Lonchura striata: one gene and its partners. The main gene of each other region encodes a partner of the protein of the gene in region 3 in a complex. Links are inferred from orthologs where the notes say so. Each region holds a gene or a part of one and is shown on either strand. Other genes may lie near its edges.

Region 1 (7,638 bases), about 14 Mb from region 3:
AGCAGTACCCAGTGAAACAAGTAGAAAAATGCATTTACACACAAAACCTTCACAAATAAAACAGTATTACACTTACCCAGGAAAAGCTTCTTCAATTACTTCTGTTTTCTGTAAGAGAAAAACCCCAAGTGAGCTAATGTTAGAAGGTTTTCTATGACAATCATGGCCACAGGATGAAGCACAAAAGACAAAGTCAATTGTTATGGGTCTGTACCAGAGAATGATAGGTGTCTTCTGCTATTCCAAAGATGAGACTGTTTTGTTTTCACACAGACATATAAAAGTTGTGGATCCAGATGAAGGCTTTGTTTCTTTGTTTTGGGTTGGTTTTTTTTTGGTTTTTGTGTTTTGTTTTTTGTGGTTTTTTGTTTTTTTTTGGTCTTCTAAACATCTAGAGATCAATTCACTTCCCAAAGCTGGAGAAGTTGATTGTCTTATTACAGCTGTCTTCTCATCATTTGAAAAATTAGCATTTTTGAATTCCATTAAGTTTTTGCCCTTCTTATGTTCATGACATTCAGTTACACAAATCAATTAAATACAATTACTTTCCCATCCAAATTTAGATCCACTGCTTTTTAAATTCGACTGAATAATGTAATGGTCTTGTACTAGATAAAAAAACCAAATATGAATATTCAATAAGACCTTCCTTTACCCCCTCCCCCTCTTTTTCAACTTCATTTTGCTCAAAGGCTTCTACATCATTATTCTAGAACTTCAGCAAATAGGTTCTGGAAAATATTATCCTAAAGCCTTTCCTACTTTTTGTAAGAATTTCATATTATACTCAGGTGTGATCTATCACTGATATTATGTGTTTTCATTGTTACATTACAGACACAGAAACATGTAACAAAATCAACTTGCTGGTGTTCCTTTTCCATCATTTGGCTCAGAATTGTCTGCCACTGCTACTCAAGAAGCAAAGGAGAAGCTGACACTCATGTGATCTGCACAGAAAGCAAGGTAAAGTTTGATGCTGACCACCAAGTCCGTACCAGCAGCAGGGAAAGCAGTAAGTTGCTATTTTATCAGTTATGGCTCTAAAAATACAGGGAAATTTTCTCAGGAACTATTTTGTTGTTGTTCCTTATGAATCTTAGACAAATAACAGTACATAAAACCAGGTAGCGTGACAACACAGGCAAATGACAACATTAAAAATGTGAAAATAATCTGAATGGCCAAAATGAGGAATCAGTCACATGTAGGCAATTGATATGCTACAAGCAACTTAACACCACATAAAGAAAAGTACATCATGCATTTTATAATGCCAGCTTAAAACAGAATGGTTAGGCTTTTCTTTCCTCTACTGAAATTCATCACATGGAAATAATTTTCACTTTCTCTGAAATCTACAGATTCTTTCCACTTCAGACATTTGAATCAGCTTATTTTTTGTCTGAAATGTCAGTCAGGCTCCCATTCAGGATCAGCTCCTGTCACCCCAGTGTTTCCAACTGTGAATGTCTCCTATCTACCAAGAAGCTCATTCATTTGTGCTCCACACAAGTGTGATTAATAACCCACTGACCTGGCTTCACAAAGGGAAAGTCCTGTTCAACTAATTTAATATCTTTAACTAATTTAATATCTTTTATAAGGTAATGATAGACAGATATTTGTCCTCTCCACCTAAAGAGGACAAAGAAAAGGCAGTGGAAGTACTTTTTCTGGATAATGCTTTTAATACTACCCCTCATAGCATCCTTCTGGACAAGCTGTTGAACTGTGGGATAAACAGCTTCAGAATGTGCTGGGTGAAGAAGTGGCAGGAGGGCAGAGATCAAAGGGGTGCAGTCAGTGGGGCTGCATCTGGCTGGTGATGGGTCACCAGTGGTGTTCCGCTGGGCTCCTAGAGTTCAGTATATTTATATAATGGTGCAGGAGGTAAATGCAGCAGGAGGTAAATGCACCATTAGCAAACCTCCTGATGATACTAAACTGGCAGGTGCTGTTGACTCTCTTGAGGGATGAGAGGCCTTAAAAAAGGATGTGGATAGACTGGCGCACTGAGCAATCAGTGCCATCAAATTTAGCAAATGCCAGAGTCTGTACCTGGGACAGAGTACAAACAAGTACTCTGGGCACAAGAGTTAACTGCTGGGCACAAGTATAAACTGGGACAGGAGCGGCTGGAGACCAGCCCTGCAGAAATGGATCTGGGAGTGCTGCTCAGCAGCAGCTCAGTGTGAGCCAGCAGGGAGAGCCCAAGCAGCCAGGAGGGCAAATCCCATCCTGGGATGCATCAAACCCATTCAACATTCACACAAAAGAGGTGATTATCCTGCTGCACTCAGCTTTGGTATGGCCACACCTCGAGTTCTGTGAGCAGTTCTGGGGCCTTGAATGCATCCATGGGCAGGCAGCAAAGCTGGGTAGAATGCTGGAAAGAATGTCGTATGGAAAATGGAGGGAGCATTTGGGTTAACTGTGCTTCGTTTTGCAGGCAGCATTGTGCGTGTGCATTCCCACAATCCGATCATGCCATTATGCTGTCTCGCCTACTCGGGACATCCATCTTCTCCTAGGCTCCTGCAGAACTCTTTAGACTGCTTATTTTACAGCAAATTCAGCGCTCTGTGATTCGGTACTGGCTACGCAAGCTGTTTTACGGCCGGTCCTCTGTCCCAGCCTTCCTACAAAGCCCAAGGCCCCGCCGCCGCCGGGAGCAGCAAACACGGCCGGGGTCGGCGGCGGGGCTGCACCGCACCGACAGCGCCAGGAAAACCAAAAGCACCTCTCCCACCTGGCTTTTCATCTCCTTCGGTGCTCCCCACCCCAGAGGGAGCACTGCGGGCCGCGGGGACCCGGAGGCGGCCCCGGCAGCGGCGGCGCTCCGGGGACGGACTCACCACCACCTCCTCGAAGATGCTCTGCAGCTGCGTCTCCATGGGCACCATGGGGATCGCCATGGGGCCGGCGGGCCCCGGGCCGTGGTCCGGCGCCGCCGCTCCTCCCGCCGCTCCTCCCGCCGGAAGCTGCGCCCCGATCCCGCTCCCCGGGAAGCCGCTGCTCGGCCCCGCCGTTCCGGGCAACGTGGGGAAAGCGACGGCGTCTTAAGTCTTGGTTTTGTTTTTCTTTTTGCAAAAATATTCGCTTAGGCTTCTTTGGTTTTTGTATAATATTTTATTTGAATAATTTTTTTTTGGGGGGGGAATATTTAGGCGAAATGCTGCTCTGGTTCTTACGGCAAGGAGCCGCATTAGGGTGTAAGGATCTCATTATTATGAGATCTCTCTCTGCAGGACTGATCTCCAGCCGCTTCTCTCCCTGTTTCTACTTGAGCCCAGTTTGGTGTAATTACTGTGAATCATAGAACAATCTGAAAATGCGTTTATCTAAAGACATCCAGGAGAACAGAATCAGAGCACTGCAGGATGGGTCGGGTTGGAAGGAATCGCAGTGGATCATCGGCTCCATCCTCCCTGCTGAAGCAGGGTCATCCCAGAGCACGTGGCACAAAACTGTATCCGGGTAGTTCTTGACAGCCTCTCCGGTCAATCTATTCTGGTGCTTGATCACCTGCACAGTGAAGTTCTTCCTCATGTTCTGCAGGATGTGCATCAGTTTCTGCCAGTTGTCTCTTGTCCTGTTGCTTGGCACCACTGAGAAGAGCCTAACTCCATCCCGGCATCTTCCTTTCGCATACTGATAGACACTGATGAGTTCCCCTCCCAGTTATCTCGAAGCTGAAGAGGCTCCCTCAGCTTCTCGTCATAAGAGCAGTGCTCCAGTCCCCCAGTCATCCTCTTAGGCCTCCACTGGAGCCACTCCAGCAGCTCCATGTTGCTCTCGGCAGAGCTGGACACAGTAAAATGCAATAGTATTACATTTAAAAATGAGTACAAGAGTATTACATTAGAATCTTGGGATCATTAAGTTGTGAAAAGACCTCTAAGAATGTCAAATTCGACTGCCAAGCCGATCTCCAAATCATGTCCCCAAGGGCTACATCTACACATTTTTTCAACACTTCCAGGGATGGTGATTCCACCACTTCCCCGAGCAGTCTGTTCAAATGCCTAAATACCCTTTCAGTGATGAATTTTTTCCCAATATCCAATCTAACCTCCCCTGTTGCTATTTGAGGCCATTTCCTTTTGTCCTATAGCTTGCTACCTGGGAGATGTGGCTGACCTACACCTCTGCACAGCCTCCTATCTGATAGAGAGCATTATATTTATATGTGTATATATATGCAGATGTTTTTATACTAGAAAGAAATGTAAAATGCTGAATCAAGACAGTGCTAAAATTTTGTGTGTGTTTGATGCTGACACTTTATTTTCTGAGCTGTCTGTGGATGTTAAGCTGCAAACATGCAGCTGGTACTGGTAAACAGGTACAAACTTACGTCTTGTACAGAAAAATAAAGCTGATCAACTCCCTGTCTGATCAACTATCAAGGTGATAACCAGAGGCCTCAGAGCAGTGAAAAATTAACGTTTTCAGGCTTGGAGCTGAGTGGAAAATAGCAGAGTGGGGGAAACACTCACATGGAATTGGATAGACAATTATTTGTTTTAAATGTAAACAGCTTTTGTGTAAATAGGCCTGGAAGAATACATGACATAAACAATGAGAAATGTTATAAGTAAATTTAAGAAGTACAACAGAGGACAGTGATACGTGTGGCATCCGTGCTTGCACAGCTAGAAGAGATGTGTTTTGTAGACAACAGGCACAGGATGCTTTGAAGTCAGTGCTTTCTTTTCAGCAGTGGTTAGGAAAGAAATAATGCTTACATGTGTATTATTTAACTAAATGTACGTAACAGATGATCATTGAAAACAGAGGGGATGCAATTGAAGGTCTGCTTGTGCTTGCTTGTCTTGCTCTTAGAATTGGGCTGCCCTCGGTCTTAACGTGAAGTTATTTATTCTGTAAGAATTGTTCTTTGTACTCTTCATTGTGTATTTATTTAAAGAGTGTTGCACAACAATCTGAAATGCCCATCAAGACCCAGTGTCAGTATTTGTCCATTCAGGACAGACTACCTTATATATTATTAAAATGACAATGCACAGGGTATAAGTGTCTACTCAAATTTTGTGCCAACCTCCTAATCCATTCTCACAGTGACTCATAAGAGGACTGGAAATTAGTTGCCTAATACAACTTTACCTTGATTTTAAGTCACTAGCCAGCATACATTCCAAATAGAACTTAGCATGTAAGCCTAAATCTAGATGGTAATATTTAGTAGACAGACTTGGTCTAATCCTAGTTAGGGTCCTGGTTTACAACTTGCCCCAAATACTATACCATATTTTGAATTTTAAAACTGAAACCATGTAATGGTCTTGAACCCCCAAAGAGGTTCAAATGGTGATTTCTGTCCTGAATTAACATCTTGTCTAACCAGATCTCATTTTAACAAAACTGAGCTACCTATGATCCTACCTTTGTGTAGAAAAGTAGTAGAAAGAAGGCTCTTGGTCAGGCGCAAAGAGTATGACACATTATGTAGATGGTTATGATTAGATTTATTGCTAATACAGTGTCTAAATATTGCCAAAGCAATATTTAGTATACATTATAATATATTAGTATACAATATAAACATGTAATAATATATAAATGCACTATAACCGGCTTATATTATAACCAGCTGGAAATATACAGATTTACAGTCTTTGGCCTTACAGAATTCACAATGGCAAAGCACCTGTGGAGATGCTTTAGGATTTTATCTCTTTACCTGACTGGGTTTTGGTGCTTTTATTCACCTGCCCAAAAGTGAGTGTTCCTCATCTTTAGGCTGAATGTACCCTGCAGGCATCCCTTCCAGGACAGGGGGATCTGCCTGGAAGCTGCCTGCTGCCTGGGAGACCAGTCTGCCCAGTTGGCCCAGTCTCCAGCAGTAGTTTAAACACTTTTGCAGGCTGATGTGTGCCCAAGTCAGTCGAAATCATTACACCTCCCTGTCTCTGAAATTTGTCTTTGTGGAATATCCATACTGTTCCTCCTGGAATGATCACTGTCCGTTCTTATCTTAGCACCATTCTCACTTGGTTTTCTTATTTTAGGACAAATCATATTTCCCATGGGACACAATTGTAAAGGAGAGGGGTGTGTGTATGGGGATGGGCACACTTGAGGACCTGATGAATTTATCTCAGTCAGAGTTTAGCAGAGAATCTCATTGGGATGGAACTGGGAGCAAGGGGTGCTGGGGCAGGTCAGGCCTAAGCAAAGATCTTCCTGCTTTGCCTGAGGGAGCCAAGGATCCAGGGGGAGAAACCGTACTGCCATTAACCCTGGAGCGACTGCACCTGGGTCCATCTGCCAAGGCATGAACCATTATGAGACCCTGCCTGTACTGAGTAACAGAGCCACACATTTTACCAAACAAGGCAGAAGAGGTGAGGATGAAATTACTCTCTTCACCCAGACACAGAAAAAGAAATGCACTTTTCAAAATTATTTGTAAATACTATTACTCTAGCAAAACCACCTTCATCAAAATGACCATTTTAATGACATTTATGAGAAAAATGTTTAAACTTTGAAATGTTTTTTTCCTGAGTGCTATTCATTTTAGAAGACAAATGACAAATGAGTACAAAGATATCTTAGAATGTATGGTGTATAGGGTCTTTCTGGCTCTTCATGGCCCTGGAGGACTTTTAGCTTCTTAGCAGTGAATATTGAAAGTGTCTACAACACAGCGTTATTCAGAAATTATCCTCCCCAGTTTCCTGACATGCTTGTTAACATGTATATGTCAGAGATGTCCTGCCTGCGTTCTTTGAAAACACCTTCTTCTTCCTGAAAGTATCAGATGAACTGAGGACTGCAGTGTAACTATGGGGGAATAGGTTTTTTTATACCCTCACCCTGCATTGGTATTGTGTCAGTCTGTATGCAGAACAGTCACTCAGAGTTATGATTTAGTAATAGAGAGCAGAAAGGATAATTATGTCCTTCTTCCTTATTGGTTTTTTTAGTCTTATGTATTGATCATATGGATTGTTTGATTTTTTTAATGTGAATTTTCTTTTGGTAGGGATGAAAATAAGTATTTTTAACATATGAGGCTGTTGATCTTGAAACAGAAAAGTTTGGGTTCTTGATTAATAGTTATCAAGTTTAATAATTGAATTTTATTGGTGAAAAATGTTCTAGAATATTGTAAATCATCATGAAGACAGTATAGTATGTCAAGTTAGAGCAATGATTGGGTAAAAGTAGCAAAATCAGGTATATGGGATCACATTCTGTTCATTTTAGCTGTTGCTGAGCAGTTCTTAAACAGACTGAGAGCCTCCTCTCTGAGTAGTGTGGAATGCACAAGAGGCTGGAGGGGGCACAGCTGGGACATCAGACCCCAGCTGGCCAAACTGATATTCCACACCATATGATGCTGTGCTCAGCGATAAAACTTTGGAGAAAAAAAAAAAAAAAAAAAAAAAAAAAAAAAAAAAAAAAGGCATAGGAAATGGCCAGAATAATAGTGTCTGCCTCTCCAAGTAATCATGACATGTGGTAGAACTCTGCATTCCTGAAAGTGGCTGAACACCTGCCTGCTGATGTGAAGTGGCCATGAAGTGACTTTGCTTTATGTGAGTGGCTTTGCTTTACCTATTAAACTGTCTTTGTCTCAACTCACAGGTTTTCTCATTTTTA
Region 2 (7,634 bases), on a different chromosome or scaffold from region 3:
CTACTCTTCTAATTGGACAATATTTATTAGATATGCTAGTTTGTTAAACTCATAAAATTGTAGAAATCTGATGCTGGGTGTGACCAAGATCATTGGGACACCTGGAAGCTTCCAATAAAGGCCTGCTTTTTATTTTACTATTTTAACACCGTTGCAAGAGTTTCCTCTTTTGATGTTGGGCAACAGGGAAAAGCAAGGATCTTCAACAGAATCCTGAAGTGACTTTGCTACTGAAGGATGATGAGAGAACTGGTTCTCCCTAAAAAGAAAAATGTTCTCTTGTTTAATAGTTGACTGCAGCTAATCCACAGATTAGAGCAGAATTTGTACTGTCAGCTTCACAAGGGGCAGGTAAATTGTGTTGAGCATTTGTGTAGCAGCTCCTTTTGTAATTTACGACAAGACTCAGATCTGAAACATACACCAAGACAACTTTAGTATAAAAAAAGCAGATTTGTATTAAACGAGTATTATCTACCACTTCTCAACTAAACCTATAGTGCATATTTGAGAGTGTTTCAAGCATCCTTAAAACCATTTCTTTGAAGACTATCAGAATATTTAATACTGCACCAAATTAAGCAACAGAAAATAAAAATCAAAACTGGAATCCAAGTGATGGAATCCAAGCTAATTTATCTTAAAACCATAACATATAGAAAGGATCTGAAATTTTTGTGACATGAAGTTCTTCATTAAGACAGCAAGAAACTGTTGAAGTATCACCTCTAAGGAAAGCATATCCTTACTGGATAACCAGCTCCTCCTTCTGGAGCACCCTGCTTTACCCACACCAGCTGCCACTTTGATCAGACTCTGCTCAGTCATGGAACAAACTGGAATTTGTCTGCAGCAGGCATTCTATCTTCAGCTATTAAAAATGCACTTACAGGAAATTATGCCAGTGTTAATGAGCCCAATTTTGATGTTTAGCAATTACTGCGACTAGCGAAGTTCCCAAATTTAACCTCCTCTGTTTAAAACAAACGTGATGCCACTGCCATGTCTCTTCTCTTTGGCTTATTCAGTGTCAATCTTCTGTAAAACACTTTTAAACAGTTACAAACTACCAATGCAAGTTTAAAACTTTTAGGTGGTCTTAAAGGTGATCATCAGGTTTGTCAGAGAAACAGCACTCAGCATCCTTTATGCATTCCAAAGAGAAAACACTTGATGTAAATCCAGCCATTAAGAGTCACAAAGAAAAATAATAAAAAAAAAAGGATGGTTTTAACAGGTAAAATCTACGAAAAAATAGGGAAAAAAAACCCAAAACAAGTTTGATTGGCTCAAAGGAAGAATCCTTGTTATCGAAAAGTGATGGAGTTATTTTGTGACAGAGCTGAAGAACCTAAAGGACACCCCGCAAGCTCTTTAACCAGAAACAATGTGGCAGAACAAAAGACTTCTGTAGCATTAGTTCTGCAGCTACAGAATGAAATGTGAGAAAATATGAAATATAACCCAAGGGGAAAAAACGAATAAAACAATGCACAGAGCATCAGTACTGTTATATCTGTTCTGTTAACATCTGAAAAAAAAGGTGAGCAGTTTCCAGTGCAGTGGTGGTGTGAAAAACCATCTTTTTTTTTACATTTTAACAGAAAACTAAGTCTAAAATATTGTCATTGATTATAACCTTATTTGGAACTAGATGCAAGGTCACTATTTCCACTAAGCCTACAAAGCACGCTTAGGCTGCCCTTGTAAAAAATTCAGGTTTGTACTAAAATCATTTTTCAATGGTGACATGGCTTAGAGATGAAAAAACGTGTTAAAAAAGAAAAAAAAAGAAGGAAGTTTGCCTTCAGGAGCATCCTGATGTCAGAATTATGAAAACTCCTACCTGCAAAGCTGCTGTGGATTCTTCACTGGGCAGGGAATCTATGAGAACATCGATATCCTTGGCGGTGCGAGCGATCAGAGCTGCGAACAGCTGGGCGTACTCTGCACAAAACACAGCACAACTCAGCCAATCACTCGGGGAATTTTTAGAAACAAGCACAACTCTGCTGCCACACTGTTGATAGTAAAAGGGTTTTAAAATCATGGGGATTTAGGGTTAAAAAGAAAATTAATTTTAGTAGGCCCTGAAAAAAATAAGTACCCTAGGTACATGAAGGTCTTGTACCTTGCTAGAACTGCACCTGTGTAGCTAGTACGTGATAAATTATATAGTTGTTAGATGTGATGATTGTTTAGTAATTAAATATAATTACTGTTTAATCGTAAGAATAATCATGAGAAACTGTAGTCAGGGGCATAACAAAGATCACGAGAAACTCATGGTTGAATAAAGTCAATATAAGTTTAATAATTAATATGTAAGTTATATAAGGATAGAATATAAAAGACGTGTAGCTCGAAAGCCATGTCGGAGTCAGATTTGAGTCTGTACCGCTGATTCCCAGGGCTCTCAATAAAAGCACCTGCAGATAACCATCCCCCGTGATGATGCGTGTTCCTGAACGCCAACACTGCTACGCAGAAAGCGCAGCCGACACCACCCCGAGGTATCCCCAGCCCTCCCGCAGCTGCGGGGGAGCTGTTCGCCGAGGGGCTTTGCACTCCCGAAGCGCGCAGGCGACGCGGGCAGCCGCACTCACCCTCCGTGGGGTTGACGCCCTGGTCCTTGTTGATGGCCGTCTGGATGTTGCTGAAGGAGGCCGGCGGGCCGCACTGCTGCAGCACTCCGATGGCGTTGCAGAACTGGTCCGCGAGCTGCCGGCACCAATTAACGCGGTTAATTGGCTCCTCGCCCTGCCCCGCCGCTGCGGCCGCCCCGCCTCACCGCGCGGCACCCCGGCCACGCGCAGGCCGCGCACCCCACACCCGCCGCCGTGCCCCCGCCCGGGGCGGGGAGCCGCATCCCCGCAGAGCCCGCGGCGTTCCCCGCGGCCCCGGGAGCGCGGAGGCGGCGGCCCCGCCGTACCGAGTTGACGGCGTCCTGCAGCTGGGTCAGCCGGTCCGCCATGGCCGCGCCGCCGCCGCCGCCCCTGAGGCGCGGGGCGCGCGCGCCGCCTGGCGGCCGGGAGGAACGGGCGGCCGGCGCCCCTCGGGGCGTCCGGGGGAAGGCGGGGCTTGGCGCCCGGCGCCGCCCGGCACGGCTGCGCCCGCTGACCGCAGAGGTCTTTTCAAAGCTACGCCATTCGGGTACTGCCACGGCTTCTGCTGTGCGGCAGCCGCTCTGAGCCCAGCTGAAGGCTGCAGCAGCGCTCGGGTGCTCCGCTCCAGCCCCGATGTGAGCAGGGAACAGCCAGAGTGTAATGCTCCCAACGAGCCAAATCAGAGCCAGCACCCGGCCCCCGAGCCCGGGGGTTGGAGAATAAATGCCATTCGTGCCAGTCGGTTTGTGCCCATCTTTCTTACCTCTGACAGCTGGGTACAATGCCAGCCTTCTCCTTAGAGAGCATCTCTTCCTAAAGGGACACTTTCCACTATCCCAGGTTGTTCCCAGCCCCATCCAACCTGCCCTTGGACACTGCCAGGCATGGGACAGTCATAGCTTCCCTGTGCTACTCTCATAGGGAAGAATACCTTCTAATATCCAGTCTAGACCTCATTTTGAAGCCATTTCTCTTACCCTGTCACAACACGCCTTTGGAAATAACCACTCTGTAGCCTTGTCACTGATGCTGCGGGTGCAGCAACGACACAAACAATCCGCCCAAAGTGTTTTCCCGACGGCACGGATGGGTGACGATCTGGGCTCTGCTCACGCTCTGAAGTCAAACCCCAAACCCCACACTGCCGATCCAAACCCCACCGCGCACTTTCAGGATTTTTAGCCACCGCGGCCAAACGCCTCCCCTCCGCCCGCCCCGGCCGGGCCGGAGCGGCCCCGCCTGCCGCCCGCCCCCGGCGCCCGCCCCGCCCCGCCCCGCGCCGCGCCGCGCCGCGCCCGGCCTGTCCCGGCCTCAGCCGCTCTGCGCGCTCCCTCCGCAGCGCCATGTGGGGCTGGGCTCGCCCGGCGCTGCTCCTGCTGCTCGCGGGGGTCCTGCGGCACGGCGGAGCCTCAGGTGAGGGCGGCGGAGCGGGGCGGAGGAGCGCGGCTCGGGCCGGGGGCTGCGGGGCCGTGCCCGGTCGCGGCCGGCGGCGCGGGCTCGCTGCCGCCGCGGAGCCTTCGGGGCTGTCCCCGCCGCCACCTGCCCTCCGCAGGAGCGCGGGGCAGAGCTCCCCGCGGCGCTGCAGAAGCGCCGTGTGTGTTCCTGCTTGTCTGCATCTTTCATGCGGACAAGGAGAGCCACCCTCTTTTTTTATCCCCTTTCCCTCCCTATCCGCTTTTTTTTTTTTTTTTTTTAAACGTCTTAATTGCCGTAAATGCCATAATTGTAACTGTTTCATGGATAATTCAGAATGATTTTGGCCGCGGGGGTGCGGAGCAGGTGATGCGGATGGTGTAGGGCTGTATTCCTCGCACAGAAACGAGGTGGCATTGGCCACTCGTGAACGTGAGTTGACATAGCTAAAAGGCGATTTGGGTTGGTTTGCTTGCCTTTATCCCCCGACCATGTGCAGGTGTTCATGGGTTCTCACCACCCTAGTGGATGGTGGGTTGAAAACCACTATTGCTATAAAACTAGGGAAAGGGGTAAAACCTAGAATTTGGAATTTGCAGCTTGGTTCCTAAACTTACTTTCTGTCCGTACTGATGTAATCTGACTTTATTTGGCATGGGCTTTTTTTGTAATTTCCCTGTGTTCCTGCATGTGACTAAAATAGGAGTCCAGAGTTAAGTGTGCTATAATAAGTATAGTTCAGGAAGATTTACAGTCACTTCTTTTTTTTTTTTTCTTTTTCTGGTTAAACTCTTATCTGTTCAAATAAAGGAAAAAATAAACAGTTTCCTCTCAGAGATAATTCAAAGATAAGCAAGCAGTCCTTCTTATCAGGGCTGATATAAGCCTCCTCCTTTTAGTTGCTTTAGTTTTGTACTGCTTCTAACCATGGACTCATAGAATGGTTTGGGACCTCATCTCGTTTCAACCCCCCTGCCATGAGCAGGTTCACTTTCCACTAGACCAGGTTGCTCAACGCCCCACCCAACCTGGCCTTGAATGAATGAAGCTTAATTGTCCAAAGGAGACTCTTTGGATACTTTGCAGGGCTGCAGGACAGCATTTGGAATCAGTCTCAGGTGTGGAAGGCTTCTCTCTGCCCAAGTCTCATGCCCAAGATCCTAATGGAGAGCCAAATATTCCCTGTTTCTTGCAGGACCTAAAAGCTTTGGCTGGGCACCTGATGGTCACAAGCAGGTGTGAGAATAAAAGCTCTGCTTTCTTAGACCTTAATGTCCTTAAGATAACTTAAAGGATGCTAACAAGCAGTTTGTCTCCTAGACTTGATGAAATTGGGTCATGTGTTGAGTAATTTTTCTACATTATGTAAAAAGGCAAAGCAACTATGAGACTAAGCAAACTGCTTTGCCTTGGAGGAACCTGTTGCTGTTTTTCCTTGCACGAATGAGGGTGGAGGGGAGGAAAGTATTTCCCTTGTGAAAAGCTAATAAGCTGTGTAATTTGTGTACCAGAGTCTAGCTGATCATTAGGGCCTTTAAAAAAGGCCACTTGCTTAATGGTTCACTGATTTGAAATTGTCTTGTGGTTATTCAGTTGTGGGCACCCACTTTTCAGGGATGGGCTCTGCTAACTCCTATTTCTTGAAGCTCCTGCTTCATTTTAAAAGTGCTGATCAGTAAAATCTTTGCATGATGGCCTGTGTAACCTCTCTGGGCTTCTGATGGGCTGCGGCCCCTCAAACTTAGTCTTTGTGCAGAAGTGTTTTCTGCACTGATTGTTGCCTTCCAGGGAGTTCTGTCTTCCTGAGGAGGAGTTCAGCTGGCCGTGTTTGCTACATCCAAAGTGGGCTGTTTAGTTTTGGAAAAACTAAAGTGAATTTATAGTGTAATCAGGACTGAGGGGTGCTTTTGTAAAGGGAGCTTATCTGGGTGAAACTTGTTTAGTCTATGCAGAGATGATACTTTACAATAAGATGTTCACACAAATCTCTTCCCTCACTTTTCAGGCGGTAAAACACCTCTAGCCTGGTGAACAGAATAGTCCTCTGGGATGGGAATGGTGCAGATGGTGGCAAGTCACATTCTGTGGTGTCATCTGCTTTAAGTATCAAGCTGTTCTAAACATGAGTTTCAGTACACACACAATCAAAGTTTAGAAGCTTTCAGAAATGTTTCTGCTTCTTTTGGGAATAGGGTAGGTGCTGTATTTTTTTTGGGGGGGAGGGGGGCTCAGTAGTGTGGGAAGACAGACCCTGTAGCCAGACTCTCCCATTATCTGTGTCTGCATGGCCTTACAGGTCTGATAGGATATGGCTCCAGGCTTTATTCTGTTAAGTAACTGTATGCTAATGTTTTTCTTACTCAAACTGGTTGTCAGTCTGAGCTTGCATTTCATCTTCATTAAATGTCTTCATGTGACTACTTGTACTCCCTGCACTGGAAAGTTCTCCTTGGCTCCTGGAGCTTGCTTACATCAGGTTATTCTGCATATCCACTGCAAGGTGCTTGACACCCAGTAGAAATGTGTTTTCTCTGACTGCACAGAACCTCTTTGAGAGAAGGATAATGTTTGAGCATGGCTGTATGGGCAGCAGGGGCATTTCTTCAGTTGTTTTTCTTACTGGAAATTGGACTGCTGGTTGTAATCAAGAACCCTGTGTGGTTAACTGCTCTGTGGTGGTAGGGAGTGACACTTGGCTATTGGAGCTGGAAATGTGGTTTTCTCAAAGCATCAGAGGAGCCAAGAGCTTGGCACTGAATCAGCACAATGGAAACAGTTGAAGCTGGGTGTAGCCTGTTGGAGAAAGCGTGTCACAGGGAAGGGATAACAAGTGCAGAGGCTCTGGAGTTGTTTGTCTTGTTGTTTAGAGTTAGGAATAAGGACTTTTGATCTCAGAAGAGTTCCAGGAGGTTCTGTTTCTTGTCTTTACCGGTTTTGCCCTTCATGTGGGAGAAGAGATACTGTGGGATGACAGAGTGGGCTGTTTGCTGTGTTCACCAGTTCTGTGTGCAGGGCTATCTGTGCTACAGCCCTGGTGCTGTTTATGGAGTAATACATGCTCAGTGCTCCCTCTCCACTCTGCTGCTGCTTGGTTTCAGCAATGCTGACTTCCTTTCAGCATCTGTTCATTTGATAAGCTCTGTAGCAGTTTGGGTTCCTCTCATGTATCTAACCCAAAATTACTCTGATGTGTAGTGACTGTTACAGTCCTTCCTATAGGGCAAGGAAGAGAGCATAGCCTGACACCTTTAGAGCGTGTCCAGGCCTTCACCATTGGAAGCAATAAAACAAGTTGGGATGCCTGGATTTTGCTCCCATCTTTGTTGCTGACTTGCTGAATCAACTCTCTCACTTGTGAGGTGGAGTTAACTGTGCTGCTGGTCCTGCAGACCTGTCTGGTGGGCCACCTCTGGGCAGGTCAAGCTTGCCCAAAGGAGAAGATTGCATGCTGTGACCAGCACTATGTGGTTGTTGAGGTCTCTGTGCCTTTCAAAGGATGTTTGACAAGACTGAGCTCTCTGTGGCTCAGGGAGTCTAATACCTGTCTGGTATTAGAACCAGAGAACTGGTGATAGGAATAGGCCTGGTGAATTGTGAGTTGGTTAATTTAATCAA
Region 3 (6,949 bases):
TGCCCAAAACCAAAAAGGGAAAACAACTAATACACTTCTCAACCAAAATCAGTTAAGGCTTGGTGATCCAAACACAGAAATCAACATCAGGGTTTTTTTTCAAACTACTTTAGAAGATGATATTTTTCCTTCTCTTCATAGCTGCAGGGAGCCATATAATCAGTCAGTGATCTACTGCACTTGTTTTCCAATGAGGAAGCAGCAGGAAATTGCCCCTCTCCATGCAGATTTTAAATTGCTTTAGGGCACAACCATCTCTTGGGCTGACATACACTAAATGTGACATGCTGGGGCTGAGCCTCATCTGCTCTCAGGTAGTGCAGATGGGAGACAAGGGGGGACCCAAAGCAGGGTCTCTATTCAGAGGCAGTCGAGGATACAGCATGCTGAGGGCTTGAACACTTCGAGCTCTGGCCAAGCACAGAGCACCCCTGCCCTCTGTCCTGCACTGTCCTGCCTTCTTTGCTAGAGAATGGGAGAAAGCCCAGCACCACTCACTCCTGCAGAGTAGGCTGTGTCTGTACAGGCACAGGGGAGATGCTGGCAAAGCTGCTCTCCAGCTACCCCCAGTCACTCACCTACCTTCAGGGGAGGCACGGAGTGCCAAGGAAAAAGACCCTGGGAACCACAAAACAAAACTAACAAACTAACTTGTTTACTTTGTAAAGCTTTGTTCATTCAATAAAAACAATGAAGTGAAACATTTAAAAAGCATATTTCACAGTTCAAATTAATACTAGCGAAAATCAGCATAGAAATACAGTTTTAGAAATATCCATAACCCTCCATTATGAAGTTATTATGACACTTAGTTTTAACCTCAAGATATTTCAGGAATGGATCAAATGGGTAAATCATTGCTAGCTTGATTTCCTGATGCCCTGTAAGCAGTAACACAGAGGTATCCATAGTGATCATGTTTATAGCATATGCAATTGTTACAAAAATAACTAAGCTAAGAGGGAAGCAATGGTATCTTTCACAGATACCATTCCACCACTGACATAAGATCTTCCAGTGGCTCTGGGAAAGTCACTTCACTTCTCTGTCTCAAGTCTGGCCAGACAACTGAAAAAAATAAGCATTCTGTACTTTAAAGGACTCCTACAAAAATCAATGAAGAGCTGTTTGCAAACAAATTACTAGTTAGCAATATCCTTTGCATAAGGAGATTTTTTAAAATATCGAACAATTCCACAGAGAAAATTTTAAGTGCCTTTGTAATCTGACATACTCAGGTGTGGCCATTCATATGGATAGCTAAATGCTTTGCAAGATCAAGTAAATCTTAGACAACTTCACACACAAGTCCCAAATTCTTTGGGAGAACAGGCTGCCTGGCAACAGCTCTCAGAAACTTGCTGACAATTTGAGAGCCACCTGGTACTGGGAAATCAGTCAGAAGACAAAATACAAGCTGTGTTGCAGGTTCCAGAGAATCTAAGTGAACACAACTAACAAGTTTCCAAACTCTGCTGTTTAACAGGACAGCACAGATCACCTAAAATACTTACCCTACCCTAAGAACCCACCAAAAGCCCCGAGTGAGTCCTAATGCTTGACATTGAGCCTTTAATACACTAGCTTAGCAGTTTCTGCTTGCCTCTCCTCATTTTATATTTTGATAAGAACCTCTTGAAAATAAGAAATTTTACCATTTCGTCCTATCACAGGTTAAAATGTTATATATGCAGCTAATTAGCCTGCAAGGTCTCCTCGAATTATGTAAGTATAACTAAGATATTATTTATATTCCACGTCTCTGTTAAAATAGGCTGTGGAAGTATATGCAATACAACAATGAAAACATTACATTCTCTAAGCAATTCAAACCTCCATTTAGACATGGCACACATTGCACAGATTTTATGGCAGAAATAAAAAAAGCTTTACCATTAGTAAAAAATATCTGTAGCTTCCAATATTCTTCTTCAGTCAGAAATTTCAAGTCTTTCTGGCGTTCTTTCAATAAATCTTGTTTATCCAAAATCCATTGTAAGCTAGAGGGATGGAAAATAATTTCAGCAATTCTTTATCAACATCATACCAAGTGTCTCCTATACAAACAGATCAAGGCTCAGGGATAAAGGGCTTGTGGCCTTTAACAAAGCCACAAACAATCTTCCCAAGCAACTGCTAGTCAGGGTTTTCGAAAGACAACTGAAAAAAAAACCCCAACAACAAACAAACAAACAAACAAAAAAAACCCCAAACAACAAAACATGAAATACCAGGGGCTGAGTAATTAGCCTCTACCAGTAGCAAACTGAGCTGGCTGTACAGACTTTAGACTCTGACAGTCATTAACAAGGTTTATGCTGCAGCCATTTCATTATGGGCACCATTCAAACCTTGACGCGCTCAGCACGAGGTGTTTTAGGGCAGAATCACAGAATCAATCAGGTTGGAAAAGACCTCCGAGATCGAGTCCAACCCATGACAGAACACCACCCTGTCAACTACACCACGGGATAGAGTGCCACGTCCAGTCTTTCCTTAAACACCTCCAGGGACGGTGACTCCACCGTCTCCCCGGGCAGCCCGTTCCACTATCAATCACGCTTCCTAACGCCCAGCCCCAGCCGAGGCCCGGCTGCCCAGCGCCGGGAACCCAATCTCCCGCGATCCGCCGCTGGAGCCCGGGGCGGCGCGGGCACTCACCCCGGGACGCGGCCCCTGTCCCGGAGTGCCCCAGCGCTGCCCGAGCGGCGGCGGAGCGGGGCCGCTCCCGCCCCCAGCCCGGCTCCCGCCCGAGTCCCGCGGCGAGCAGGCCCCGCCGCCCGCCCGGCGCTCCCGGGCCTCCCCTCGGCGCCGTGCCCGCCGCCCGGCCCGGCAATGAATGGACAGAGCGCGGCGGCGGCTCGCAGCACCCGTGTCCCGCGCCCCGCGGCCGCGGCACCCACTAGTGAGAGCTCTGCCAGAAGTTGCCGGCCATGGGAAGGAGCGGAGCGGGGAGGAGGCGCCCGGGCCCGCGATGCCCCGGCCCCGCCGCCACAGCGCCGCCGCCCCCGCGCCGGCAGCAGGAAGGAGGAGGCGGCGCCGCCGCCGGCCGGCAACGCGCGGCTCCGGGAACCGTTCCCCCGCGCGCGGGTTCCGCCCGCCCCGCCGGCCCCGCCGCCCCGCTCCTGGCACCGGGACACGGAGCGGGATGGGCCGGGAAGGGGGCCCATCCAAACCCGGGCCAGCCCCCGCCGTGTGCACGGACGCCTTCCGCTGGGACAGGTTGCTTGGCGCACCGTCCGACACGGCCTTCAGCACTGCCAGGGATGGGGCAGCCGCAGCTGCTCTGGGCAACCTGTTCAGTGCCTCACCACCTTCCCATGGAAAGAATTGTATCCCTATATCCATTTCAAACCTCTGTCCGTGCAAAGCTGGCTGCTTCTCTCTCTCTGCTGTAAGCAGCCAGGAAGATCCAAAGCTTACTTGTCTTGTGCTATCTCCACCTCACCTAAATTTCCCTTCTACTTACCTTCACGGCTCAGCTTGCTCCATGCTGGAATTTTCCTCATCGGAGAGAGCCTCTAGAGGTATTTACTTAATAATTCTAAATTTAAACTGCAAACAGGAAGTGCATGGGCCTGCTTTCCTTCCATGCTCTTTCCTGTCGTGGCTCTCAGCTTCTTAGTGGGATCTGAGATGTATCAATGCCATGCACTTGAAAACTTGGGAACGGATAAGTTAAAGGGAAATTTAGGTTCTATTCAGGAACTATGAAGCAGAGAGGGAAGATGCACAGAGTAAATTGGTGTCATGGTTTAGAAATTATATTCTCAAATGTTGAGTTCACACTGAAGCTACTCCAGACCTGCCATGACTTCCCTGTCCTCTTGCCCCCCCCCAGCTGTGGGTGGCTGGAGAGCAGAGCTGGAGGCATAAAAGGTAAAAATCATGGACTGAAAGAAGAACAACTTACTGGAAACAGCAATGAGATAAATTAACAGTAACAGCAACAACACTAATTACAAGAAAACAAAAAGTTGTCGCTCACCCTATGGAAACCCCCATCAATGCCCAGCTGCTCCCTCTGCAGTGCTATCCCAGCCTGCAAGTGAGTCTTTTTCCCGCTCTGTCCTTGGAAAATGACACGAGGTGGAATAGAATAACCTCTAGGTACTGGCCCTGGCCCTCGTGGCTGCAGCAGAAATTAAACCTGTCCTGCCTGGAAGCAGGACAGATGGAGCCAGTGGTGTTTCTAAATGCCTTTGCTGGCAGAATGAGACACTGTTCTGACCCACCAGACAGACTCTAGGTTTGAGACCCTGTTTATACATAGGAATGTGGAGGAGGGAGGTAGAGAAAAAACATTTTGCATACCCTTTAGCTTTCCTTTCTCAGTGCAAGGAGACGTGACTGAAAACACAGGCTGGGTTTGTGGGGATTCTGTGGGGGCTCTCTGACCTGACACCTTTCTCCAAAAAATATCCGGACTTTGCAAGGTATGGGAAAAGGAACTTACTCTGCTGTGTCAATGTCACAAAGAGGTGAACCAAATTGCCAGCAAATGCCCTGGATTACAGCCACCCACAGCACAAGCACCAAGGAATTAGCAGAGAGAGAGACAGAGGCTGCTGTATAACACAGGAGCTTGTCATTGCCTCGCTGAACATACAAGAGCAACTAAAATAACAGCAAACCTCATGCTTCTGGTTATCACATCAAGTGAGCATCTCTTTTTTTTTTCACCATCTTTCTCTACCTGACCCTGGCCTTTTTCTTGCTCTGATTTAGTACCTGTGTTTTGTTCCCTGGGTGGTGATCTGGGCTTCTGCACAGTCAACAGCTGGATGAATATGAGACAGCTGTGTGCCCAGGTGGCCAAGAAGGCCAATGGCATCCTGGCCTACATCAGAAACAGCGTGACCAGCAGGACCAGGGCAGTGATGATCCCCTTGTACTCAGCACTGGAGAGGGTGTGCCCCAAGTACTGTGCCAAGTTCTGGGACCCTGAGGTGCTGCAATTTATCCAAAGAAGAGCAACAGAGCTGGTGAAGGGTCTAGAGCACAGATCTTATGAGGAACAGCTGAGGGAACTGGGGTTGTTTAGCCAGGACAAAAGGAGGCTTAGGGAAGACCTTATCACTCTACAACTTCCCTGAAAGGAGGTTGTAGAAAGGTGATGTCAGTTTCTTCTCCCAGCAACAAGAGATAGAACAAGAAGAAATGGTCTCAAGTTGCACTGGGGAAGTTGTAGATAAACTTTCTTTACCAAAAGGGTTGTCAATTGTTGGAACAGGCTTCTCAGGGAAGTGGTGGACTTACTACCCATCAAGGTGCTTAAAAGATATGGGGATGTGGCACTTGGGGACATGGTTTAATAGTGGACTTGGCAGTGCTGGGTTAACTTGATGATCTGAAAGGTCTTTTCCAATTTCAACAATTCTATGATTTTACACTTCAGTATGGCAGAATATTAGTAGGGACTGGGCAGGATATTTACCATAGCTATGATAAATGCCATTGCTGCACTGCACACTAGGTGTGGGAAACAGCTCTGCTTGCCCTGCATCTGGCACCACAGGGGCTGTCTAATACTGCTGGAATGGGAGTACTTGGCACCACAGATTCATGCCAGATCCACTCCCAGACTGCCTCTTTCCCAGCAGGACAGACCTCACATTGCATGACCCCATTTCACAGCACTGCAGCAGACCACACCAGTACCAGAGCTATGGAGAGGGAAACTCTCCCTGCTCCACAGACCCAAAACCAGAGAGAAACAAAGACTCCTTGGGGTACACATTGCTCTGCAGTGGGACACTCTGCCATGCTGGAGTTCCTCCAGTGCCCTACAAGGGGACACCCTGCTATGCTGGAGATCCTCCCTGCAGAATGGCGCCCAGGGGGCTCCCAGTGCTTGGGGCGGGGGGTCATTGTCAGCCCTGCAGCATCCCTTGAGCAAAAAGGCAAAGGGTCCTCTAGACTGAGCCATGCTGGGAATGCCAATTGCCAGGCCACAAGGCCTGCAGCTGGTGTGGGCCCAAATTGCAGGGGTGCTGATGGCCATGTGTGGATGCCCCTATGACTCCATCTCCCTGGAGGCCCAGCTGGGAGATGCTTCCTTGGGCAGGGGCATGTCAGGGGGAAGACAGGACAGAGCTTTTTCCCCTTGACATTGCTTTTGAACCTTTCCTTTCCAGGAGCTGTGTGGAGGATCGCTTTATTTACCATGTCCTCTGTGTCTGTGTGTCAAAACAAGCAAACAAAGATCTCATGAAACAGATGTTCTGTGCTGCTGTGTGTGCAGATGTCTCCTTGCTCAGCCTCAGACCTGGCTGCTGCTCTGAGGGACATCCAGATATAGGATGAAAAAATCGCAGCCAAGAACCTGCAGGTAAAATTATACTTTGTCATATTTGTGAGATGAAATTATCTGTCAGCTCTTGCTGATCTCTTCCCCCTCTGCCCCCCTAATAAAAACCATCACAAACATATTGAATATACTTAGTAGTCCATTGCTAGATATAAATATATGCAGGATAGTTGGATAAATTTTTTTCCCCATAAAAATGCTTCTTCCAATCCACATCTTATAAATAGGATGATACATGATCAGTTTTTTGTTCATGGGTTCTCCCCCACAATTGGAAATACAATATTTTCTTTATCTCTTTCCCTTGAATGCACACAAAAACAGTATTTGCAGATAGTCTCAGGTTTTTCACATGTTTACATATTCATCTAATAACTGAAAACAGTACATATCTTTTCACAGATCTGACAATAAGCATTCTTGTTTGCCCTCCGCTGTTTAATATCCCCTCAGGAAATGAATGAGTGGTACAAAACCAGATTTACTGACTTTAATCAAGCTTCCACAAAACATGCTGAGAATGTGAGACATTTCAGGGAAGGAACAGGGAAAAGAAGTGTAAGTGGAATTGAAAACCCCTTCCAGCTTATGTTATGTCACTTCTAATGAAAGCCTTTGTTATGATTTCACTAAGTTAGG
Region 4 (7,483 bases), on a different chromosome or scaffold from region 3:
GAGAATAGCTGAGACCCCTCCCCCTCCTCCCTCAAAGCTACAGATGATTGAAGCTTGTAAAACAAAACTAGAACTAACTAAACTTTTGCTATGCACAAATGGGAGCACTCCGTGCCTGTGAGCGAAAAATATTGACTGTCCGTCACTTTAATTTGCCAGATGCCTTTAATTCAGATACTTTTTAACAATGATGCAGCAAGTGCAACTTCAAAAGTGAAAAATGTTTCAGTCCCTGCCCTTCCCCTGGGGCCTCCACCTCCACCCCACAGCCTGTGGCAGGACTCGCCAGTCCCTCTGGCCTGCGAGAGCGTCTCTCTCCTCCATTTGCATGGAAGAAGTTACAGGGTAATTTACCATGAGAGAAATATTGCATCAAGCAGGAATGTATACAAAGCTCTGCAAAAACACCATCTGGACTCACCGGTTGAGTTATTTACTTCCGGCAATCTACTTCCTGTTTCAGGACCAGCAGTTTAGCATTGAAACATACAAATTTCTGCTAGAATATGAGATTCCAAGCACTTCAGATATGCAACTGCAATACATCACCAATAGCCTCTTGGTCATCTGATTCTGGGACTTTTTTTTTCCTTTTTGCCCGAACTCTAATAACTACTGCTAACTAAGGACTAAATAACCTTAGCCAGACCAGCAATGACTTTGACTGCAAGATCAAAAGCAGCATGGCCAGCAGGTCAAGGGAGGTGATCTTTAAATGTCCCCTCCAACCCACACCATACTAGGACTCTATCATTAATTTGCTGATACATATAGCCATGGCTATTAAGCAGCATCTGTCATAGATTTCAAGGAGTTCATGAAAAAAGTGGCTGTTTATTCAGCTTCATGGCCAGTTTTCATGGTAAAAAATAAGTATTTTTATTCAAGAAATGTAACAAGGGCATATTCACAGCTATTTATAGATTAATTATATGGACATAATCACCTCTCCCACCACCTTCTTCAGAGAGAAAGCACATCCTACCATTTCTCCTATAACATACAGCCAGGCTGTCTTAGTACACATTAACTTTGGGGGAGGTAACCATCCTCACCAGTCCTTCTCAACACTTAATAGTTCTGCTTCCTCAGTGTTCATGTCTCATTACTGGATCCCACAACATTATCTCACCAACTCCTTAGCTGTTCCTTCTGCAGACCTCTGCTGCTTTTCCTCTTGCCACCACACTTCAGCGGGGCCTCAGAGTGCACATCTCCAGGAAGCCAAGAGAGCCCAGTTACCTCTGCACTCCTTACCTGTGGTTTGGGTTCATATTGTTGCTGAAGCATCTCTGCCACTTTGTTTTCAAAGGCACAGAGCTGTGTGTAAACTTGGTGCAGAAAGGCCTCACGCTTCGTCTCATCCAGCTGACAGCCCTGGAATAGTACCTGGCCCAAAGACACACGTGTCAGTCACCAAGTCAATATTTTACAGCACCAGCCCTCAAGATGGTGAACACAGTGCTGCACAGTAAAGGTCAAACACATCCCTGACAAAGCACAGGTACAGCACAGGCCACTTCTCTCTGTTCCTGCTCAAAAATAACTGCGTGTGAGCAGTGGTACCTCATGGCAATTGCCGTGCATCCCACAGCAGACACCTACATGACACTTTAGGAAATCTCCTTCTTGGGCAAGAAACTTCTACTTCATTTGACTTTCTCCAGGATAAACAGTTATTAGGAGAAAGTGATGTGGGATCATTGTTAGAAACCATGAACTGTAGTCTGATGCTTCTACGGAAGGCCTGCTTCTTCTAATCTACCTTACCTATAGACTGATTAAATTATCTTCCAAGGGGAACAGTAAATTGAAATAAAGAAAAGAAGCAATTAGAGTGGACATTACATTAGAGTGGCTTACAGAGGAAGCCTGCCACCACAGCAACTCCCCAGGGTGACAGGCATGACACCTGTGTTTACAGATGCCACCCTGGTACAGGCAATCCCTCAGTCCCTGTCCACAACCAGAGACAAAGAAGATACAACATGCAGACAAAGCCCTCAGCAGATTGGTGGGGTGCTGCATGTTATCCACATTCCTCAGCCTCATATGGGCAAGACCTCACAGTGGCACAGGAGAAATAAATGATTACCACAGAAAGTCTTTCCTGGATAAGTGATACACACAATACACCTTTTCCTCCATAAAAGAATAATTATCCAGCTGTTCCCAGAGATCACAGTTCATGGCCTCATATACAAAGTGGGAATTTAGGGAGGTCCAAAGAAGAAAAATCTAGCAACTTCAGAGTGCTCAATATAGTGTAAATAGGGGAGATACTGAAGCACAGCATGATGGTCTGCAGGCCAAGATGACACATAATACATCAATGGCAAATGGAGAAATTCCTGCTACACTTACTCCAGCAACACCTCAGAACAGATCAAAGTGATGGCCACACTCCTCATGTACAACAGAAACCCTGGCAGAAGGCTTAGGCAGGGAGGGCTGGGGAAGGGGAGAGAGGGAACAAGCATAGACTTATAGGCTCCTCCTGTTACCAAGCACTTCCCCTGGTATTAGCAAAGGGATGAAATACACGACCATAAACACATAAGTTATGTGAAAATACTGTAAGGTAGAAGAGATCAAAGATGAACTTCGAAAATAACACTGGCCCCATAAATCAGACTTGAATTTATTACACAGACCTGTCACGACACAAATAAAATCTCACTGATAAATCTCAATACTGGGGCTGGCTGTTCCCTCCAGCAAGAAGCAGCATATTCAGATCAGTGCAAAAATAAGGTTTGTAGGAAGAGACAACTACTTTTGCATTAACCACTGCTACAGAGTTGGAACAGGGAGACAAGCTTTTGGTCATACAAGCTCTTCTTGAATGCTTCAAGCTAATTAAAACAGGCAAAAATAATTAATCAACAGAAATTAAAGACAAAAACAACTCCCAAACAACAAAACAAGAACAACAATAAGCACACATTCGACATGAGGCAAATATTCCCTGTGGTCCAATTCTAAGATCATGCCTGAGGGCAGCATTCTCCACACAAACCTCTGCTTCCTGCCCAGGAAGGAGAAGTTGCTCACACACACTTCTGCATCATGCCAGGCCACATGTTTTAGTGAGACAAGCCTGCAGCATAACAGGCAGCAGAGCCCAGCTGCCACCTCCCCGCTTTCCTTGTGCTCCCAGGACACCCGCACAGCACAGCGAGCTGCTCACGCCGCGCCAAGGGAGAGCCTGAGCTTTACCTGGTGGGACTGCAGGCCAATGATGGAGGAATACACCTGGATGGTGACAAAGATTTCTGGCTGGTAGATAATGTCTGAACCAGGGATACGAAAGGGTCTTAACAATCCCACCAAGCATCGGGAAAGGGCATGAAACACTTCATCAAAAATTATCTCCCCCGTTGAGTCATCCTACAGAAAGAGAGAAAGGGAACAGCTTTTTCATCTCCTAGGACCCTCAATTTCACTGTTGGGTGTCCCACTGTGCAGAGCCAACAGCAAACATCCTTCTGCAACGGCAGCTGGATTATAGTGACAACTCCTGTGAACAGAAGTCACACATTAAGCATCCAATGGAGAAACAGGATTTGCCATTAAATCCCCATGCAGGGGCACAGTATGGTTCCCTCCCGGGAAAAACAAGACTTCTATAAAAGCTCAGACTGACACCGAGAGCAATAAACCTTTCCTCAGTAAATACAAATGGGTTTCTGTTTTAATGCAGAACACCCCAGAGAGAGGCAGTTTCTGCTCTTACCACAATCCCCGTGGAAGGGCTCAGATCAAGCTCAATCACAAATCGGTACTGACGGGCCAGGAAGGTGACCCGTGTAGAGGGGACCAGGAGGTAGGGCCTGGGCTGGACCGGCTCGTCTGGCTGCCACCCATTGGGCAGGATGCTGAGAACATCGAGCTCGTTTTCTGACTTCACCTGCCAGAACAAGCAAACGGCACATACGAGAACATCAAGCCACACCAAAGGAAGAAGCAAAGAAGAGAAAGGGGCTCAAATGCTCTGCAGGGTGCAGGCGCTGCTGAGCGGCGCAGCACCAGCGGTGACACCATGCAGCCCCGAGCACCAACTCACCAGCTCGGGCTCGGGCACGGCCCGGATGACCTGGTGCAGGCGGCTGAGGACCCAGGCGAGCCGCACGTTGCGGGAGATGCGATAGTCCTTCTTCATCAGGAGGAACACGTGCCCTGCCTCCTCCACCTGCGGCGGGAGCACAGCGGCGCGGGTCAGCCCCGGAGCAGCCCCGGCCAGCGCCCGCGCCGCCGCTCACCCCGGGCTGCTCCGGGCCCGCGCTGCCCACGGCGGCCGCGTCCCCTGCGCGCTCGGCTCGGCTCGGCTCGGCTCGGCTCGGCTCGGCTCGGCTCGGCTCGGCTCCCCAGCCCCGCTCCCGCGGCCCGCACCCACCTCCCCGTCGGGCCGCTCGGCCGCCGCCATGTCGCTGCGGGCCCGCCCCGGAAGCGCGGCTCTCCCGGGACAGCGGGGCGGGGCCGCCGCCGCCATCGCCGCCGCCGCCGCCATGCAGGTGAGGGCCGGGGAGCGGGGCCGGGGAGCGGGGCCGGGCGCTCCGCGGGGCCGCGCCCGCCCGGGGCTGCGGCAGCCCGGCCGGGCGGCCGAGCGCGTCCCGAGCAGCCGCGGCGACGCTGCGCTGTGCCATGTGCCGTGCCCCTTGCTGCCGCTCCGCCGTCGCTCCGCCGTGCCCCTCGCTGCCGCTCCGCCGTGCCCCTCGCTGCCGCTCCGCCGTGCCCCTCGCTGCCCCTCCGCCGTGCCCCTTGCTGCCCCTCGCTGCCGCTCCGCCGTGCCCCTCGCTGCCGCTCCGCCGTGCCCCTCGCTGCCGCGGGCTGTGGGGTGAGAGGGTGCGCGGCTGAGCGCCCCGCTCCCGCTTGGACGGAATGCCGCTGATCGAGGAGAACCTCGTTACTTTATTAAGAGCTGTGAATTTGTAGCATCCTTATTGTCCAAAGAAAAGAGCATTAATGGTAGGTTAGCAGGCTGTAAAGATCCACCTCCTTTGGTTTGCTTGAAAGCGTAGCCCGCTGGCCTCATACAGATCTGCTTGTCCCGCTGGAAAAGAAAGTGAAAACAGATTGTCCCGCTGTTCCTTGTTTATAGGGTTTGTTACATCGGCTCTCCTTGTTTCAGCCACTTCGTCATGCCAGTCTTTTTCACTGGGTTGTTTGTTTGTTTGGGTTTTTTTGGGTTGTGGTGGTTTGTTGTATGTTTTGTTGTTTACTTTTTTAACTATGAATATTCTTCACCATCCTCATTGCTTTTATCATATTCCTACTCTATTCCTTTTCAGTTCGGGGGACAAGAGTGACATGTTATATTCGAGATGCAAAGGAGGTGCACCATTTATATGGTGACATAATGATGCTTAGTTTCCGTAGCTGTCCTAATAACTCCTGTAGTCACTTTTACTTCTTTGACTGCTTTTCCAGGATTGGGATGATGTTTTCATGGGTTACCCTCAGATAACCCTGAAATCTTTTTGAGTTACAACCTTATCAGCTCAGATAATGTCATTGTGTACAGAAAGTCATGGGGTTTTTTTCCCCTTTGTTTAGCCAGTCAGGATTTTTTTTCTCCTTTGTTTTGATGTCTGCATTGTTTTACCTTTACCTACTCTGAATTTCACCTTTCCCTCTCAGTTGCTCAGTATCAGGAGGTCCTTCAGAACCCTTACCATAAGCCCTATCTTTACTACCTCAGGCCAATTTAACATTGCTAACAAACTCCTCAAAGTGTCCTCTTGGAGGGGTCAGTCTTACTGTGTTTATCTTGCACTGCTTGCATCTGCTTCCAGATCCTGATGGCTTTGGGAAGAGCCTAGGGAAGGAGGGTTGGAGTGCTCTGCTGCCATGAGAGTGCTCCTTGTGCAATGGGGTTTATTCATCCTCTTGAAGGCTTCTTGGATAAGCACAGGTGGGGGGCCAGGGGAATTGCTGTGGGTGCATATGCCTGGCACCTCTGCAGTAAAACGCTGGCTACCAGCCCAGCTTGTAATGCAGGCAGTAGTTAACCTCCTTGCACAAACACTGCACACAAACTGTTGCAGGCACATTTCTTAATTGGACAGGAACTGACTAGTCCCGTCACAACATGTGTGTGTGCTTTTATCTCTAGGTGGAACAACCAGCAGCAATCTGTTCCATGAGTCCACTCCTTGGACTGGGGATCAAATTTTACTAAGGTTGATTCAGCTGTTCTAAGGTGGTTAAAGTGAAATGAAGTCCCATCAGTGATTACCAACTTGTCAGAGTACAAATAAAATAGAATAATGTGTTCTCGTGAACATGGAAGGTGCCTGATAATCTCTCCATGAAGCTGACATTGGGCCAGTGTATTTGAACGGAACAATAACAATTCCAATAGCAAGCATGCCAACAGTGTGAGTCACTCTATCTGCTTTCCCAATCGGTATTCCCTTTCTATTATTTGATTGCTTTGTCCCACCCTCCTCTTGGATTATTGTACAGTTCTCTACTTACTCGAGCAGTTCCTTAGGGCTGGAACTTTAATTATGTTTTGCACAATACTGTAGTATGAGTAAGTTAGAGTAGATAAGAGTTTAGAGGGATTTTGCAAGAATCAAGGGCATGCCTTGATGTCTTTGGCAACACATCCCCAGTCTTGACACTTTGTCTGTCACCATCCTCCCTCACCCGGAAGGGGATGTCAGTGGGGAAGATTTCTTAAAACAATGTAATCCCAGCAAAAGGCAGGATTAAAGTGTGTGTGTGGGTACAGTGCCAGTCTGTGTTACGGCAGGGCCTCCCACAGCCCACGGGGCACAAGGCCAGGAGGAGCTGCCAGTTTCCTTGGCAGCTGGAAGTGTCACATGGGCAGAAAGAAAGTAAAGATTGGCAGAAACTTTATTAGTCCAGGGTCCATGGTACTCATTTTGCAAAGACTGTTTTGGATAAAGACATCACAGCACCCACAGCTGCTTTAGAAAAGGCTGAGGGAATGCTAATCTTCTTTGTTCTGGGTTAGCTTAAGTGGTTTACAAAGGTGGCATGAGCTAGTTTTGATGACTTTGCTTGATGTGGTGTAAGTGATGATGTCTTCACTCACCTAAATCTTTAACAGGACAGCTGGCCAAGCGTTCCTCTCAGGCACAAGTCTCTTGCCTAAGTAGTCTGACCCTAGGGAAAGCGGTCAGTGTGAAATAGTAGGATTTTTATCTCCAGTGCCCCTGCTTCCTTTGAAGAGGAGGCTGTCTGTAGGACAGATTGGATCATGGATGCATGGGCGTGAATTCACAACATTTTTGTCCTCCTCCCTTGTCTGTCTTGCCTTTTTTTAGAGAGAGGAGAAGCAGCTGGAACTGACCCTGGAGGCACTCATCAGTCAGGTGGCCGACCTGAAGAATTCCTTGGTCAGTTTTATCTACAAGCTGGAGAATGAGTATGACCGCCTTACATGGTAAAGTGTCTCACTGTTGATCACTGCCCAAGCTCTTCAGACAGGAGATTATCTTCTTGTCAATAC

What was found.
Region 1: CCNC (region 3) and MED23 share a complex: the UniProt entries of both Homo sapiens proteins name them as parts of the mediator complex. The link is inferred for Lonchura striata from reciprocal best matches to the Homo sapiens genes CCNC and MED23.
Region 2: CCNC (region 3) and MED21 share a complex: the UniProt entries of both Homo sapiens proteins name them as parts of the mediator complex. The link is inferred for Lonchura striata from reciprocal best matches to the Homo sapiens genes CCNC and MED21.
Region 4: CCNC (region 3) and MED8 share a complex: the UniProt entries of both Homo sapiens proteins name them as parts of the mediator complex. The link is inferred for Lonchura striata from reciprocal best matches to the Homo sapiens genes CCNC and MED8.

The regions. Positions count from the first base shown.
Region 1 is NC_134605.1:59,766,912-59,774,549, reverse strand, and holds the start of MED23 (mediator of RNA polymerase II transcription subunit 23), read right to left. Parts: upstream 3,008-7,638; 5' UTR 2,922-3,007; coding exon 2,862-2,921; intron 109-2,861; coding exon 77-108; intron 1-76. UniProt on the Homo sapiens protein: Required for transcriptional activation subsequent to the assembly of the pre-initiation complex. Component of the Mediator complex, a coactivator involved in the regulated transcription of nearly all RNA polymerase II-dependent genes.
Region 2 is NC_134607.1:1,479,536-1,487,169, reverse strand, and holds the start of MED21 (mediator of RNA polymerase II transcription subunit 21), read right to left. Parts: upstream 3,019-7,634; 5' UTR 2,975-3,018; coding exon 2,933-2,974; intron 2,722-2,932; coding exon 2,607-2,721; intron 1,948-2,606; coding exon 1,847-1,947; intron 1-1,846. Other genes in the region: TM7SF3 (transmembrane 7 superfamily member 3), read left to right, coding at 3,950-4,019. UniProt on the Homo sapiens protein: Component of the Mediator complex, a coactivator involved in the regulated transcription of nearly all RNA polymerase II-dependent genes.
Region 3 is NC_134605.1:73,825,001-73,831,949, reverse strand, and holds the start of CCNC (cyclin-C), read right to left. Parts: upstream 3,017-6,949; 5' UTR 2,936-3,016; coding exon 2,904-2,935; intron 2,001-2,903; coding exon 1,894-2,000; intron 1-1,893. UniProt on the Homo sapiens protein: Component of the Mediator complex, a coactivator involved in regulated gene transcription of nearly all RNA polymerase II-dependent genes.
Region 4 is NC_134611.1:15,037,746-15,045,228, forward strand, and holds the start of MED8 (mediator of RNA polymerase II transcription subunit 8), read left to right. Parts: upstream 1-4,472; 5' UTR 4,473-4,508; coding exon 4,509-4,514; intron 4,515-4,856; exon of another isoform or gene 4,857-4,965; coding exon of another isoform or gene 4,966-4,968; intron 4,969-7,298; coding exon 7,299-7,417; intron 7,418-7,483. Other genes in the region: KICSTOR complex protein SZT2, read right to left, coding at 1,258-1,389, 3,220-3,390, 3,737-3,910, 4,067-4,192, 4,397-4,426. UniProt on the Homo sapiens protein: Component of the Mediator complex, a coactivator involved in the regulated transcription of nearly all RNA polymerase II-dependent genes.